Diceros bicornis minor: one gene and its partner. The protein of the gene in region 1 purifies or fractionates together with the protein of each later gene. This does not show direct contact. Links are inferred from orthologs where the notes say so. Each region holds a gene or a part of one and is shown in the gene's direction. Other genes may lie near its edges.

Evidence for each region. Proteins that work in one complex are often made in the same cells at the same time.
Region 2: the proteins of RARA (region 1) and KLF5 purify together in Homo sapiens (affinity purification with western blotting; 4 studies listed by BioGRID). This does not show direct contact. The link is inferred for Diceros bicornis minor from reciprocal best matches to the Homo sapiens genes RARA and KLF5.

What each region holds. Positions count from the first base shown.
Region 1 is NC_080757.1:39,814,901-39,822,165, forward strand, and holds the start of RARA (retinoic acid receptor alpha), read left to right. Parts: upstream 1-4,206; 5' UTR 4,207-4,310; intron 4,311-7,265. UniProt on the Homo sapiens protein: Receptor for retinoic acid. Retinoic acid receptors bind as heterodimers to their target response elements in response to their ligands, all-trans or 9-cis retinoic acid, and regulate gene expression in various biological processes.
Region 2 is NC_080748.1:53,134,686-53,142,649, forward strand, and holds the start of KLF5 (Krueppel-like factor 5), read left to right. Parts: upstream 1-4,899; 5' UTR 4,900-5,217; coding exon 5,218-5,463; intron 5,464-7,770; coding exon 7,771-7,964. UniProt on the Homo sapiens protein: Transcription factor that binds to GC box promoter elements. Activates the transcription of these genes.

The sequences.
Region 1 (7,265 bases):
CCTCTGAAGGTAATTTGCAAGTGGAAAACAGTTCTATACCTAGAAGCTTGGAAAGTGTCTGGGGCTATAAGGGTTAACAAGCATAATTGCAAAGATTGTCCGAAGGCTGATGGAAAGCAGAGACTGAATGGGATTGAGAACAGATGCGAGGCTTGATTTAAATTACATTTTATTGGATGCTGCAGCCTTAAGAGACGTGACTGCTTTACAGTTTGTTTCCACACTGTGGGCAGCTGCTGTCTGTTCTGTGTCCACAGTAGGATCCTGCCCAAAAAGGAGCGGCCTCCCCACCTCGTTGTGTTTGAGGCTTGGCGCCTTCCTCTTAACTTTAGGGCTTGAGTCAGGAACATGGCTTGACTCGCAGTGGGGCTGCTATGTATCCTCCATGGCTCTGAGCCAAGATTGCATTTGCAGATCCAAGGGGCCAAATTTTTTTCCCCTCTACCTCCCTTCTCTCCCTTTCCCCGGGTATTTGGAAATAGGGTTTTCTGTGTACTGGTTTGTCAGTTTCCTTTCCTTCAGTTCTCTCCCCACCGTCAATTTCTAGGTCATTGCTGCTCTTAAGACTTCAGCAATTGGAACAGGGTTGGTTCTGTCAATGATGCGTGAAGCAGACTTAGAGTCCCTGCTTGGCTTCCGCTGCCCTTGTGGGAGCAAAAGCTGATGTATGTTTGTCAGTGAAGTCTTAAGTGTAATTCAAACAGCCGAGGAGCAGATTGAGGGGAGGAAGAAAATCCTTTTCTTGCTGAAGCTGAGAGCTATGGGAAGGTGCTGGGATTTTTAGTGGGATGGGATGGGTTTGTGGTTACTAGTTTTTGCCAGGATCATAGGCTGTTTCACATAGAGTAGTGGCAAAAGATGCTGACCTACATTCTTCCTTTTGAAGGTGGTGGGGTGTGTGTCTATATCCTGGTTTATTTATTTTTCTTCAGAGAAGCAGATTAAGCTTCCATAGAGCGTTGGTGGGTATTGCCATGGAAAGAACATAGACACAATAAAATTGGTGTGAGTTTCAACCCCAGAGCTACCGCTGACATTTCTGGCTCAATGAAGACTTGCCTGTGGCTAGATAACTGGCAAGAGTGTGTGAGGTCCAAGCTACCCAGAGATCAAAAAATGTTGGCAGAGCTCTGTTCTCTCTTCCCCACTTTGGTCCCTGCCTTTATTAAGTGCCCTTTTAAGATACACCAATAAGAACTGGGAAGTAGGAATGAGACACGACTTGGAGATTTTTAAAAATATGTTTTGAGAGGTGTTACCTTGACTGTGGAGGAAGACCAAAAGAGAGAGCCAAGATTGAGATTTTATTTACATTTGTGTCTGTCTCCAGCACTTAGTGCAGAGCCCAGTACCTGGTAGGTATTCAGTAAGCAATTGTTGAATGAACAGAAATGAACCAAGTTGCTGCCGTTCCTTCCGTCTTGAGGACAGTTCTGATCTGGAGGTAAACATGGCTGATGCTTTTGCACTGACGTAGAACAGGCCCCTGTAAAAGAAGGGTGCTCCATCTTACAAAATGTGGAGGATTTATTGGCCTCACATATGCGTTCCAATCGCTCCCTCTGATGTAGTGGTATTTTGCTTAAGGCAACTTCCATGTTGCTCCCAGGAAGCCTTGCCTATGGGGAGAGTCCTACCTACCAGGTGGGAGGAGGGGTACCTGTCTGGATGTTACCTATGTCCCTAGAGATTGGCCAGAAGCTGTGCCTCTAGGTGGCAAGGGATTAAGAAGGAACCCACCTTTGATGTCCCACATTTTCACTTTTGGGGAAAGTTGTAATCTTGGGTTCCTCCTAAAAAGATAAGGTGCTCTCTAAGACATTCTCTTTTAAGCTACCGACAGAGGCAGGTCTCCCTCTTCTCAGAAGAAAGGCTTCTGTAGGGGAGAAGGCGTGACCTCTGGCCTCTTCTTCATTTTTAACCCCAACCCCAAGGTACTGGCAGTAGAAGCTAACTGGGTGCAAGGGGCCTGGGTAAAGGCTGTCTGAAGACTGGCGAAAGGAGAGAGCCAGCTCCTTTTTTAAAAAGCTCTAATTGAGTTCTGAATCAGCCTCACTCCCTTTGATCCCTCCTCTGTTTCCCACACTGCCTGAAACAGCTAGATCAGCATTTTATAACAAGGGTGCGCCTGCTCCCCGCACCCGCCCCCCCTCCTGACGCTCTCTGCTGCCGCCATCCACTGCTTGTCTCCTTCAGTTAAGATAATGAAGATGCTGAGAGATAAAATGTGTATTTAATAAGGGTGGGGGTAGGGAGGCAGAAAGGGGCAGCCAGGGCCTTCCCTAGTTTGGGGCCTAGCCAAGACTCAAGCTGAAAGCAAAGCTAGAGTAAAACTTGGCCAAAGGGTGTGGGGGTTTCTGGGCCTCAATCCAGCTGACTTCACTGCCTGCTGTTTGCCCTAAATTCCCCCACCTCCAGCCTCTCACCCCCACACTCCTTTCTTTCCTCTCTTCATCCTCCCAGTGGGAAAAGGGAGACTTGCTTCAACTTTATTTTCAGCTGGTAACTTGGCCTTTGGTGCAGCACCCCCCAACCCAGAGTCAGTTGCAAGGTCAGCTAGGGCAGCCCCCACTGGCCTAGGGCTGTAGAAGCTGTGGGTTCACAGTGGGGGGTGAAAAAAGCTAGAGTTAATGAAGACCAGCTGTTAGTCTGGGTTCTGCCTACAGTTAGCTGGAGACCAGCCGTTGGTTGTTGGAGGTACGAGGGTACGTGACCTCCATCCCTGGGCACAAGGATATCCTGTGGCAGCTGAGGATTGTGCTGCTCTGAGCTTGGTTGTATCCTTAGTTTGTAAGAGAGTAGTCTGTTTCCCTCTTTCCTTGCTCCTCCCTTCCCCAAATAACACTCAGCCCTTATTGAGCTTTATAACTGTAGTGGTGGCTCAGCTGAGATCTGAGGATCTCCAAGCTCTTGTAAACACTCATTAACTGCCTGGGAAGAACCAAGAGCCCGGTGTAACAGCTGGGAGGGAACTGAGGCACATTAGGGTGAAAGGCTTGACCTGAGCTCATCCCATGGACTCCACCCTGAGGCCCTTGTCCTTCTGTACTATCTAGCTTCTTTCCCCATTTTTCTTGCAAGACAGAGAAGAAGGTGGAGGCAATGCTACTGCCCTCTCCCCTTCTAGGAAGAGGCCATGCTTTCTCCCTTCCCTCAAGTCTGTCCCTGACTTCCCCTGGCCCTTTACCCCATGACGTTTTCCCTGCTCTGCTGCTGCGGGAGATATGTGCAACTCTCCTTGCAAAATGTTCTCAATCCAGCCCCCTGCAGCCTTCCTATCCACCTTTCCCTGGCCCACCTGGCCCACCAAACCTGAGTTCTCCCTTTGGAGCTACTGAGAAGATCGGCTATCCTAAACTGGCTCTGTAACCTTGAAGTTGATCTAAGTGTGTTAAGAGGCCCCTCTGCCCCCTATATTTATCCCAAATGGTACCTGGGAAAACATTCTCTTTAGATTGTTCATCCTGGTAAAGTTTCAGGATGGGCTGAGTAGGGCCACTAGTTGACCCCTAGATTCTGCACCTCGTTCTTCCACTGACAATTGCCATTTCTGGTAATGGATGGAGCTCAGTCACCCAGCCCCACCTGCTCACACTCTCACTGTATATGCATAATCTGCATACCTCAACACTCCCAGATACACCTCAGCCTAAGGGTATAAAACAGCAGTTTCCAACTGCCATCCAAATTATACTGCCCTTTTTACTTACTGGAAATCAAGGGGTGGCCTTCTTGGCATTTAGGAATAGTGGGGAGGGATGAGGAGACTGCTACATCTACGAGGGATAGGGTAGAAATGAGCACCCTTCCAAAATGAATGCCCCCTTCCCCAAATTCTCCATAGCTAAGTGGCTTAGCTGGAGTGATAGGGAAAGAGATCTTAACCCCATCTTCAGCACCAAAGCCCAAATCCATCTGCTTGGGGCAGGCAGGAAGAAATGTCTTTTTTCTCCTGTACTGTATTATCCTATCCTCAGCTAAAGTCATCCATGTGCTGTGTATTTGAGATTGGGGACTGTTCCTGTCTCCAGCCCATGACTCAGATTTTCTCTCAGTCTTTCTCCCAGTGAATTCTTTCTCTCCCATCAGTCCTCAGCTCTGCACCCGATGACCCAGTCGGGGCTGGTGGAAGAGGGCGGGGAGAGCTTACTGTGTGGTGACTGGGCTTTAGGACCCAACGGGAACCTGAGCCTCTTGCAGCAGCCTAACCCAGAAGCAGAGGGGAATCCTGAATCGAGCTGAGAGGGCTTCCCCGGTTCTCCTGGGAACCCCATTGCCCTCATGCCAGCACGCACCTGGCAGGACCACAGGTAGGACCACACACACCCCTTCCCAATTCTCCCTCGGCTGCTTGCCGCCGGGCCTCTTCGCTTCCGATCTGGTCGTTTCCCTCTCGCCAGTTGAGGCTTTCCCCGTCCCTCCTCCCCCACCGCTCACTGTAGTCCTGGGAGGTGGGAGCCTGGGAACAGTGGGGTGTCTGAAACTCAGAGCCCCTGCACCCTCCAGCGCCTTTCCTGCACTTCCCCCGAGGCATTCCCTGTTCTCTGGCTAAGAATAGAAAGTGAGGGGAAGGTCTGCTCAGGCCTCACGCCCTTGCACCCTCCTTTGCAGTATTGCCTAATACCCCTTCCCCCACCTCACCTCGACAGGAGAATTGGCAGTGCTGGGGTAATAGAGAACAGAGGGAGCAGGAGAGGGACCTGAGCCCCCCTGGGGGATTTCTCTCTTGCTTCCTCTCTGCCTCCCAAGCCCAAGAACTCAGGACTTCACCCCCTCCTCCCTACTCACCTTGTAGGGGAACTAACGTCCCTTTCCAGGCTCATCTCACACTTGGGTGGCCAAAGCCTTTGCTGGAGAATGGTGGAGGTTGTGAGCGGTTTTTGGTGACCTTTTCCTCTGGGGAAAGTTCTTTCAGCTTAGAGCCCCCATCCCTGCCAACACCTCAACGCCTGTAGGAAAGTCCTCCACCTGCCCCCCCACCCCCTGTGTGTTTGTGTGTGTGTGTGTGTTTGTGTGTGTGTGTGTGTGTGTGTACCATATACTTGTAAGATCTATAAGCTTTGGATAGAGGTGGCTGCGTGCATTGAAGGGGAGAGATCCCAGAGTCTGGCCAAGGCCAGAACAGGCTCAGCCCAGATGGCTGGGAATGGGGGTGTGGACCACATCCAGAAGGCCACCCAGCCATGCCAGCAACCTGGGCTCCTCGGCTTTCAGAGCCTCAGGCTCATGGTGTTACCCTGAAGCTTCTGCCCTCCTGCAGGCTCTCGGGGAGAGGGCTGGATGGCACCTACTGTTTACAGTGGCTTGTTTCTCTCTCCAGCGGGGGACTGACAAGCCCTGCTCTCTGAAGATCTAGGGCACCTCATTATGGTTTGGTGGGTTTGCAGGATTAGTGTATGAGTAACTCTGTGTGTGAGTGTGTATATTGCCTCTGGGTGTAGCGGACTGGGGAGGGGAGTGATAGAAGAGACTGGAAACACTTTGGGGGAACCCCTTTAGCTCTCTGTGTGTTGGAGGTGGGTGCCATGTCCCTATCTGGTAACTCTGTCTAGGTGTGGGGTTGGTTTGGAGGAAAGGGTGGAGATTGGAGTAATTTCAGACTTAGTTCTGCTCTTGACCCAGGGAGAAAAGTAGAGATTCTGAGTGCAAGCAGTGGACTGAGAATCAGAGGCCTGAATTTGAGACTCAGCCCTGTCATTTAACTATGTGCATTTATACAGGTCTCTAAGCCTCTGTTTCTTTACTTGTAAAAATGATGATCAGTAACAAGCCCCGCTTGCCTGGTAGAGATAATGCTATCAAGATGCCTTAAGACAGTATATTGTAAAGCCCAGTGCAAATGGTAGTTATGGCTGGAGTGCAGAGGGTGGGGAGGGTTCTAGGATGGGATTCTCTTCCTAAATCTAGGTCAGTCTCTCTGCCTTCAGTTTCCTTCCCCCATCCTTGCCCATCTGGGGAATGGAGGAACCAGGCAGGGCTGTTGCCCCAGGGTTCTGCAGAATTCCCCTAATGCCAGTTGTAGCTGATGCCAGAGCGCCTGTGGTCAGAGAGGACAGATCTCTCTACCAGGCTTTTCTTCCTCTGGGGCTCCACACCTTCTCCCCCAAGCCCTGTCTCCACCTTCCTTCTGCCATTCCTGCTCCACGTCCTTGTCCCTGTCTCTCCCCTGCCCAGTGGCCTCCTTGTCCGGCTCACTGGGCAGGAGCCCTAATCGGATTCGACAGCTGAGATGTGTGTGGCGGCTGAGAGCAGGCGGGAGGGAAGCCAGTGGGAGGATGGTATGAGGGCTGCCCCTGGCACTGCCCAGGCCTCCCAGGCACCACCTTGGGCCTGCTGACTCCCGGTTTGGCTTGGCCCTGGGGAAGGGGTGCCAGAAGAAGCTCAGGAATGAAGGGGCTGGGGTCTGAAGATTAGGGGAGTGGGAAACACACCCAGGACCCCAGGACCTCTTGGATATTTGGTGGCCTTAATGTCAGTATCTCTGACTCTGACAGGGAGGAGAGGACAGCAGGTGAGAGCCAGGCTACCCCCCCTGCCCCCCCCCCCCCCCCCCGCCATCCCCATGGCACCACTTTCTTCTCTCTTCTTATTCAGAAATGTGTTCCCTTTCCCCATCCAGCCCCTTTGGCCAGTTCTCCTTATGGGGCTCGTCTGGGAGCTGCTAGGGGCACCATGTGTCTACCTCACTTGGGCTGTTTCCTCCCCTCCAAGGTATTTCTCTCACTCACTCTCTGGGCTGGGTGCCAGGACTCCTGGGTTTCCTGCCTGCCTCATGGTGCAGGGCTGCCCTGCAGGCCTCCAGAGAGTCGCTAAGCTGGTTTCCTTCCTCCTGTATGAGGAGGGCCTTCTCCCAGGGCTGGGAGGTGTCAGGAATCCCAGGTGGGATAAGGGTGGGTGCACTGTAGCCCCTGGCACCATAGCACCCTGATCCTTCCCTCCTAGCCTCTGACTCAGCTTGGAGGCAGCACATGCCCAGCCTGGCAGGCATGGCCTGTTCTCACCTTCAGGCTTCCATCTTTACATGTGGAAGCCAAGATTTTCTGCTATCCTTTTTAGCTTTTTCCCCATGGTATCTGGGGGTGGCTCTCAAAATCCCTATGTCTGCACCCACACATTTTGGGGAGCAGGGGATTAGCATAATTAAAGCTGGGGCACTATTTTGTCTTCCCTCCAGCTGGGCCAGGGTGAAGGAAACCAGCACAAACTTCCCCGTGCCAATTCTCTCTGCCCTCAAAAGACCAGCCCGTGGAGCCAGGCCCTGCCCT
Region 2 (7,964 bases), on another chromosome or scaffold:
CTGCTCATCAAGCCACACTGAAGTGGCATCCCACATAGAGCAATTAGAAGGATGCAAATCTATGACCTACAACTATCTACTGGGGCTTTGGGGAGAAAAAAGGAAAAAAGGAGGAAGATTGGCCACAGAGGTTAGCTCCATGTATTAAAAAAAAAATACATGGCAATTGTGGAAAATTTAGAAAATATTGAAAAGTATAAAGCAATGAAAAACTACCCATCATTTGACCATCCAGTGATAGCCCCCAAAATACATGCATGTTTTGTATTTTCTTTTCATCTTTATGTATATGTGTTTATAAAACCTCAACTTTTCTTTTACCTATCATATCATGAGTATTTTCCCGTGTGACTAAACATTCCCTAATACTACGAGTTTTGGTGGCAGAACAGTAGCCATTGTATGGATGTATTATTTAACCACTCTCCTATTATTGGACAACTGGGTTATTTTCAATTTTATTTTATGTATATATGAAAAATATATATTTCCTAGAGAGAGAATTATCTATCATTTTAAAAGGTTATTTACATTTTTAGCCTTCTTCATACTTATCGTCAAAGTATCCTCCTCAAAAGTTATACAAGTATACACAACCATCACCAGTGGAGAAAAGTTAAGGCACGAAGAGCTGGCATTGGTCTCAGCACTATTTTTACATATTTTATTTACAAGTCAACCTCCAGAGGGTATTCCCTTGTGACCCATGCACAGTTCATTTGAACGTTGTGTGTGCCCCACAGCCTAGTACCATTAATGCTTTTGTCATCACGTCAACAGCAATTGGCTCAGAACTCTGCTCATTGTGATGCTGGTGAAGTGGCCTCCTTAACGTTCTTAAAGATAGTTGGGTGTAACGGCCTCAGTGCAGGACTTTTCTCTTAACCTTTCCTATCATGTTAAGAGTGAGAATTCAAACACTGTACAGTTTAAGCTACAGTATGCCTGGCCTATAACTTGGCTCAAGACATTTATATTTACGTCATTTTTGTCTGCTTATTATACTAACAAGGTGGAAAAAGCAGTTCCAGTTCTCCCAAAAGGTAAAATTCTGGTTTTTTGTATATTACTAGAGTTTTTAAAAATAGGTTACAAAAATTACAGTACATTTAGGAATAAGTGCACATTGAGAATTTTGAGATATTTCATGAAGAACACATTTAAATCCAAACAAATATAAAATTTAATTTCTTAAGAACTGGGGTGGGAAATAGTACAAAAATAGAATATTAAGTTTTTTTCTTAAGACATTATTTTAATTTATGCAAAAAGTATATGTCATTTAAATTACATATTTTTTATCACAAAAGGAATGAACAGAATATCTTTTCTCCTGTCTCTTAATCTTTTGAGTCAAAATGATTCGAATTTTTTTCTGATCTCAGTTGAAGCTTCTATTTGTTATATTTTCTCAGTGGCATTTTTTTTTTTTTTTTTTGGAAGTGAGGCTTAAAGCAGTTGGCATTAATAAAAAAATAAAAAGATTAAAAACGTGAAATGTTTTAGATGACAATAATTATATTTTATGTTTCTATTGATACAGATTTAATACTAGGTGGACGATTAATGAATATCAAAACAGTCACTTTAAATTGAATAATCTAACCCTAGAGAAGAGTGTACTCCCCTTATAAAAAATTATTTTTACTCATTCTCGTGCTTTTTCTGTGGCCCAATATCACTTAGTAATTTGATTCTGATTTTACAGAAATGGAATAGTCTATGAATATTTTCCAATCAAAGTGAATAAAATATTGTCTAAAATACTCTAGATCCCTTCATTTCAAGCTCTCCCTGACGTTTTGGCCGAATAACTGAATACAGATATTTCTTTTGCCGTGTCTTCCTGTGAACATTGCCCCAGTGATAGCTTCATATTTCTCTCATCTCATCATTCGGAAGCTATTTATCCACTTTTTTCCACTGCCTCCTTCAAAATTCCCCCTCCCCCATCGTTGAATGCCTGTTCAGCCCCCACACATTCAGACACATTTATTCCCGTAAAGATAGTGACACTTATGGTTTATTCTAAGACTGAATCTGTGTTGCCCAGTGACTAAGGACTTAAGCATGCACACTGCTTCTACGCTTACCCTCCTACCTAACTTGACTACTCAACTTTTTATTTCTTTCCCTCAGATTCTCTGTTTTGGCACAGTTCAGTTAACACACCACTGCCAGGCCACTAATTGATTTCTGAAACCTGACATTTGTTTTTTGTTTTCTCCTATCTTCACTAATGGTACAGCACTACTAAGCAGGAAGGAATGCAAAGAACTAGAAAGTTCAAAGTAATTGAGGATCTGTCCATTCACACTGTCTGGCATCACGCCAATGTAGAACCTGGAACATTTGAAAAATATTTATCAAGTTTTAACCCTTTTTGCTAAGTCGATGAAGCAGGTTTGCAGCTGTGGCATTTGTGTTCGCAGCAACAGCAAGTCAGCTTGGTTGAACATGTTCTTTATATGTTCAGAACCCCATGGCAAATGTCTCAGAAAAGGATTACTTTCCAATTTCCGTACTATTGTACAGTGCTAAGCTAGTTATTTTCTAAGATTGCACAGTTGGGCATTTGAGAGAAACCATTACTTAAAAATGGCAGCCCTATTTCATGAATTTTTACGTCAGAAATGAAATTTAAATAAATGCTACTCTATTTGAGCAAAAAAAATTGTATTCAGCTTTTCTATTGTAAATTTGTTGCGAGCTCAGCCTTAGCTAGGTTCATATCTATATTTATTAAGAAAAGTAGAAATGTGAAAAAAATTAACAGGATTATAAAAATTTTGTTAACCATTTGTGAAATAGTTGGGTTCCCCTCCCACTGGGAAAGCTTTTGTAAATGAAAGCATGTTAAAAAAATGGCGTGAAATATAGAAACATCTCCAGTAAAATAACTATATTTTATTACATTGAAAACTTAGGTTGAAATAACAGGCCACTGATGCTCTGGTACAAAGAAAGACAAAAGGAAAGGTCTAGGAAGGCTTAAAAGCAAATAAAAATATAAATAAATACCAAATTGTATTAAATCTAGATTAGATTTAAAGTTAGAATACAAAAGTTCTATTAAGAGTTATCTATATCACACTCAGGTTCGATCATGTTATCAGCATTAAATAACTAAAACCTTTCAAAGTTCAATTTTCAAAAAAGTTATATTAAATCCCATACCAATTCTACAACCTGTTTCTAAGTTATTTAATTACATAATTGGCTTCAATATTAGAGAAAATCAGGACAGCTTTTTAAAGGTGAAGGTGGATAGTATGGAATTGTTTGCTTAGAAAAAAATTTGCAAAAACACTTACGAAATAGTACTTTGGAAACATCAAAGTACTCATCAACCATTATCTGAAAGCAGTGATCACAGCTATAAAAATGAATCATTTATTAACAAGAAGGGAATGAAAAGGAGAAAAAAATATATTTTACAGCACAATTTTATGTTTTCTAATAATAAATACCTCTCATACTTTATGTGTATACTAATTTTTTTAATCTACACACTGAAATGAGATCCATACCTTTGATAGACCCACTCTGAAGTGAACGTTTTTCTAAGAACTCGTTTTTTTAAAGCTGTTTTACTGTGAAATGATGAGTAGGCTGTTGTATTGTAAAATTGTCTAATAGGATAGTGTGCTGTCAACCTATATACATATGTAGTAATATTACAGGCATTTTTATTGCAGTTTCTTGTTCCGGCTTCCCAAAAAGCCAGATAAAATCATGTACAAGACTATTAAGGATTAAGGGAAGTGGTTTCCTTAGGTGATTGCTGGCAAAAATTCACCTTCCTATTATAACATAATAAATGGACGGTAATATATTTGGCTATTACTTTCCTACAAATTTGGGTTCCTAGTTTTCAGAGCTGCTGCGTGTCTAATATTTGTGGCTTCTTTGGTTCTCTTTTCGTAGGAAAAGGTATTAGGTAAATGTGCTACGTTTCTGTTTTGTAAATAGCAAACTCCATTTTTTGAACTTACAGTGCTAACAAAAATAAGTCAAAGATGTAATGTCTATTTAAATACATTTGATCTAGTCGTTAGTGCTTAAATTAGATTCCATGCTTCGGCTAGAATCAACAGGGTAAATATTAAAAACTTCAAAATTCGTATGGCCCATCCCCCTTCCCTCCACACACAGATATGAGTTAGAAATGTGTGTCAAAACTTCTAACCATTTAAATACTGTAGGAAAAAACAAGCTTTTATGCAAAGACAAAAAAATCTTGCCATTAAACCTTTTATTCAAGACATTCCGAATTTTCTTTGCTAAATGGACATGTTCACTGCTAAAGATACATAGAGACAAGAGCTGTTTTTAAATTTGTTTATCACACCGCCCCTAGTTTTCCGCTAAAGAAAAGTACATTTTGTATATTTAAAAATACCCACTCATTAAACAAGTTTCTAAAAACCTTAGCGCCCCCACCTAGCTGCCTTCTGGGTTTCAGCTTTTGAGTTTCAGGTCCTTGCACAACACCTAAGACGTGCAAAACTCTTTTTCTCCCTAATCCTGTCAGAGAACAGTCCGAAGAGATCTCCCTCCACGTCTCCACCCTAATTCCCTCTCTTCCTAGATTCCACCCGCTTCTCCCGGTCCCTCCGCCCCCGGCTCCGCCAGCCCAATCTGTCACAGAAGTTGTGTACAAACTGCGCGGCCGCCCTGAGCGCGAAGCTCGTGGCCCAAGAGGGGTGCGGTCGGCCCGGCGGAGGCGGGGCCCTGGGCGAACTCCTCCCTTCTCATAGGCTAGCCCCTCCGGCCCGGCCGGCCTCGGGGCCTCGCGATTGGCCGCAGGGCTGCCAGTTTGGTTGGCGGGCCCCGCCCACTCGGAGTTGGGTAAAATACAGGCGGGCGTCAAGTGTCAGTAGTCGTGGGGCAGGTAGGCGCGCTCGCAGCTCGCTCGCGGAGACCGGCGGTGGCGGGAGCGGGCTCCGGCGAGTGAGAGCGCGCGGTGGGGCGGGGCGGGGCGGGAGAAAGTGGCCGCCCGGAGGACGTTGGCGTTTACGCGTGGCGGAGCGGAAGAGTTTTGCTTTTTGTGCGCGCCTTCGAAACCCGCGCCTGTTGTTGCCTGAGGGGTCCGCCCGGAGCCTCCCCTCCTCCGCCCGCGGCCCCGCTCCGAGCTCGCCGGCCCGAGCCAGCGTGGGCGAGGTGGGAAGCGCGCTCGACCCGCGCCCCGCGCCCGGAGCCGCCCCCCGAGTGCCCATGGCTACGCGGGTCCTCACCATGAGCGCCCGCCTGGGACCCGTGCCCCAGCCGCCGGCCCCGCAGGACGAGCCGGTGTTCGCGCAGCTCAAGCCCGTGCTGGGCGCTGCGAACCCGGCCCGCGACGCGGCGCTCTTCCCCGGCGACGAGCTGAAGCACCCGCACCACCACCCGCAGGCGCAGCCCGCGCCCCCGCAGCCGCCGCCCGCCGCGGGCCCGCGGCTGCCCCCCGAGGAGCTGGTCCAGGTAGGCAGAGCGGCTCGCCTCCCTCCGCCTCCCTCCCGGGGCTCGGGCGTGTCCCGCCGCTGCGACGCGCGGGCGACAGGGGCCGCTCCAGGCTGGGGCGTGCGTCGGGGCGCACCGGGAGCCCCAGTGCGGTGGGCAGCCCCGCCCTGCCCTCCGAGGCTGGGCACCGGTGTTTCCTGGGGAGAAAGTCGGGGGCCCCGAGGGAGGGTGTCCAAGATGAATCTGCCCTGGCCGGTCCGTCCGGGAATGGTTGAAGAAGGAACTAGGTGCTCACGCGCACCTTGGTTGTTTTTCTTATATTTGGAGGATGAAGCCTCGTACCTCACGCCCAACTTTACTTAAATTCCGCCTTTCCCCGTAATCCGCCGCTCCTTCCAGTGCCATGGCCTTGGAGGTCACCCTATCCCGCGTCGTCTCGGGTTAAGTGGAAATGCAAATCGGGGTGCTGGGGTGAGGCCCCTCCGGGCGCTAGTTTCATACCCCTTGGTTCAACCTGTTTTAGACGCGATCGGGCGCTGCCTTTGGGAGACGGGAGTTAGAAAAGCTAAGGTTGTATTGGAGGGCTTATCTTCCCTTAAAAAGAAAGACAAAAAAAGACCAGGGCTGTTGTTTTCTTCATGTGCGCGTAAATTTCCTCCCGGAGCCGCGTTGAAAGCTGGCAGTTGGCTTTTACACTTGCCCGGCAGCCGAATTAGAGCAACCGCCTGTTTCTTTCGCCCACGCAGGGAGTCATATAGCCCAGAAAAAACTTCCCGGGACTTTTAGCCTGTACCAAGGAAAAAAAAAAGTTGGAAACATACCCACATGCAAACAGCTGGAAGAGCTAAAATCAGAAACCACTAACCACCACGGGAGCGAAGTGCATGAAGGGGTTTAGTTCGGTTTATTTCAAGACGCTTCATTTAATAGCCCCTTGGTATATTGTGTGTTGGCTACCCAGCTCCTACTCCGGGGGTCTGCGAGTGTCGCCGTGCTGTGAAAGGGCCAGGGGCATTTGTCAGAGATGTGACTCACATGACTAGAGCGATAATTTTTATTTTTAAATCGTGGCTATCCGGGAAACCCCGTCTGCATCCACACCGAATGATACGAGGTCCGATATGAAACACTTTTGAAATTAAGTAGTAGCAAAAAATGACTGCATTATTCACCGATTAAGATGCTACCGTTAATAGTTCTATGAGCCTTCTAGTTGGTGGGTTTTTTTTCTTTTGAAATTTCCTTTTCAGTGTTAAAAATCTATGTTAGACTAGGAGAGAAAATAGCTGTAAAAAGACTCAGGAGACTAGTTACAAGCTGGATTATGTCCTTAAAAAATCACTGTTTGGAAACGATTTGGTTATTTCAGTTTGTCAGTTTTCTGCTTAGGAGACACCAAGAGGGTAAGGGATGACTGAGCTTTTTACAGAGTAGGGGGGAATGTAGCATTGGCTCACTGAGGAGGACGTGATAAATGTTTTGCTGATGACTGTGCTAGCCGTTCTGCAGCCTCTCCCCACCCACAGGCCCCTTAGCACCAGTCTACCAAGGGAGTGATTTTCCCCTAGGTAATTAAAGATCTGTTTTAGATAGGGATATGAATAGGAACATTTCATTATCATATTAACCAATTACAGAATCTGCTGATTAAAATCAACATTTAGATCGAATGTCGAGTGTGAAGTTGTTTTGTTCTTTCAGTGGATACTATATTTTGCTCAAAACATTGTATTTAAGTTTCCATTGAACCATAAACGAGAAAAGACGCCAAAATAGCCGTGGAATGTTTTATATTAGATATTTCAGCAATATCTATCCAGGCAAAAAAAAAACTGCCATATTATTAAGATTTGCATAGTTTTTTTAAAAAAAAGTTAAACTCGCCTATATGGCATGAACAGAATCAAGGTAGTTTGGCGATATTACAATACTGTACTTGAGTTCTAAACGTAACTGAGTAATCGGGCAGGGAATCTTGCTTGTACGTGAGTAATAATAAAATATACTTTATTATTGCATCGGAAAGGAATATGTTTTCTGTTTGCTTCCTTTCTTTCTTGATTTTCCTCTTTCACTTTTTGTTTGGGGTTGATTGTGGGAGCAATTTTACCAAGTACAGGTTATACAGTTTCATAAGGTTTTGGTGAACTAGTTATTACACAATTGGCAAATAAACCTGATATGTTTATAAGCAACGCTTAGAAGGAGTTGGCCCTAGTACATTTCACACGGATTGTTGGGGGAATTTTTGGTAAGGACCCTTTTGTATGTCCTTCCTGAAATGATGAATCGGATGGATTATGCATGTTTGTATCTCTTCTTTTTTAGACAAGATGTGAAATGGAGAAGTATCTGACACCTCAGCTTCCTCCAGTTTCTATAATTCCAGAGCATAAAAAGTATAGACGAGACAGTGCCTCAGTCGTAGACCAGTTCTTCACTGACAGTGAAGGGCTGCCTTACAGTATCAACATGAACGTCTTCCTCCCTGACATCACTCACCTGAGAACTGGCCTCTACAA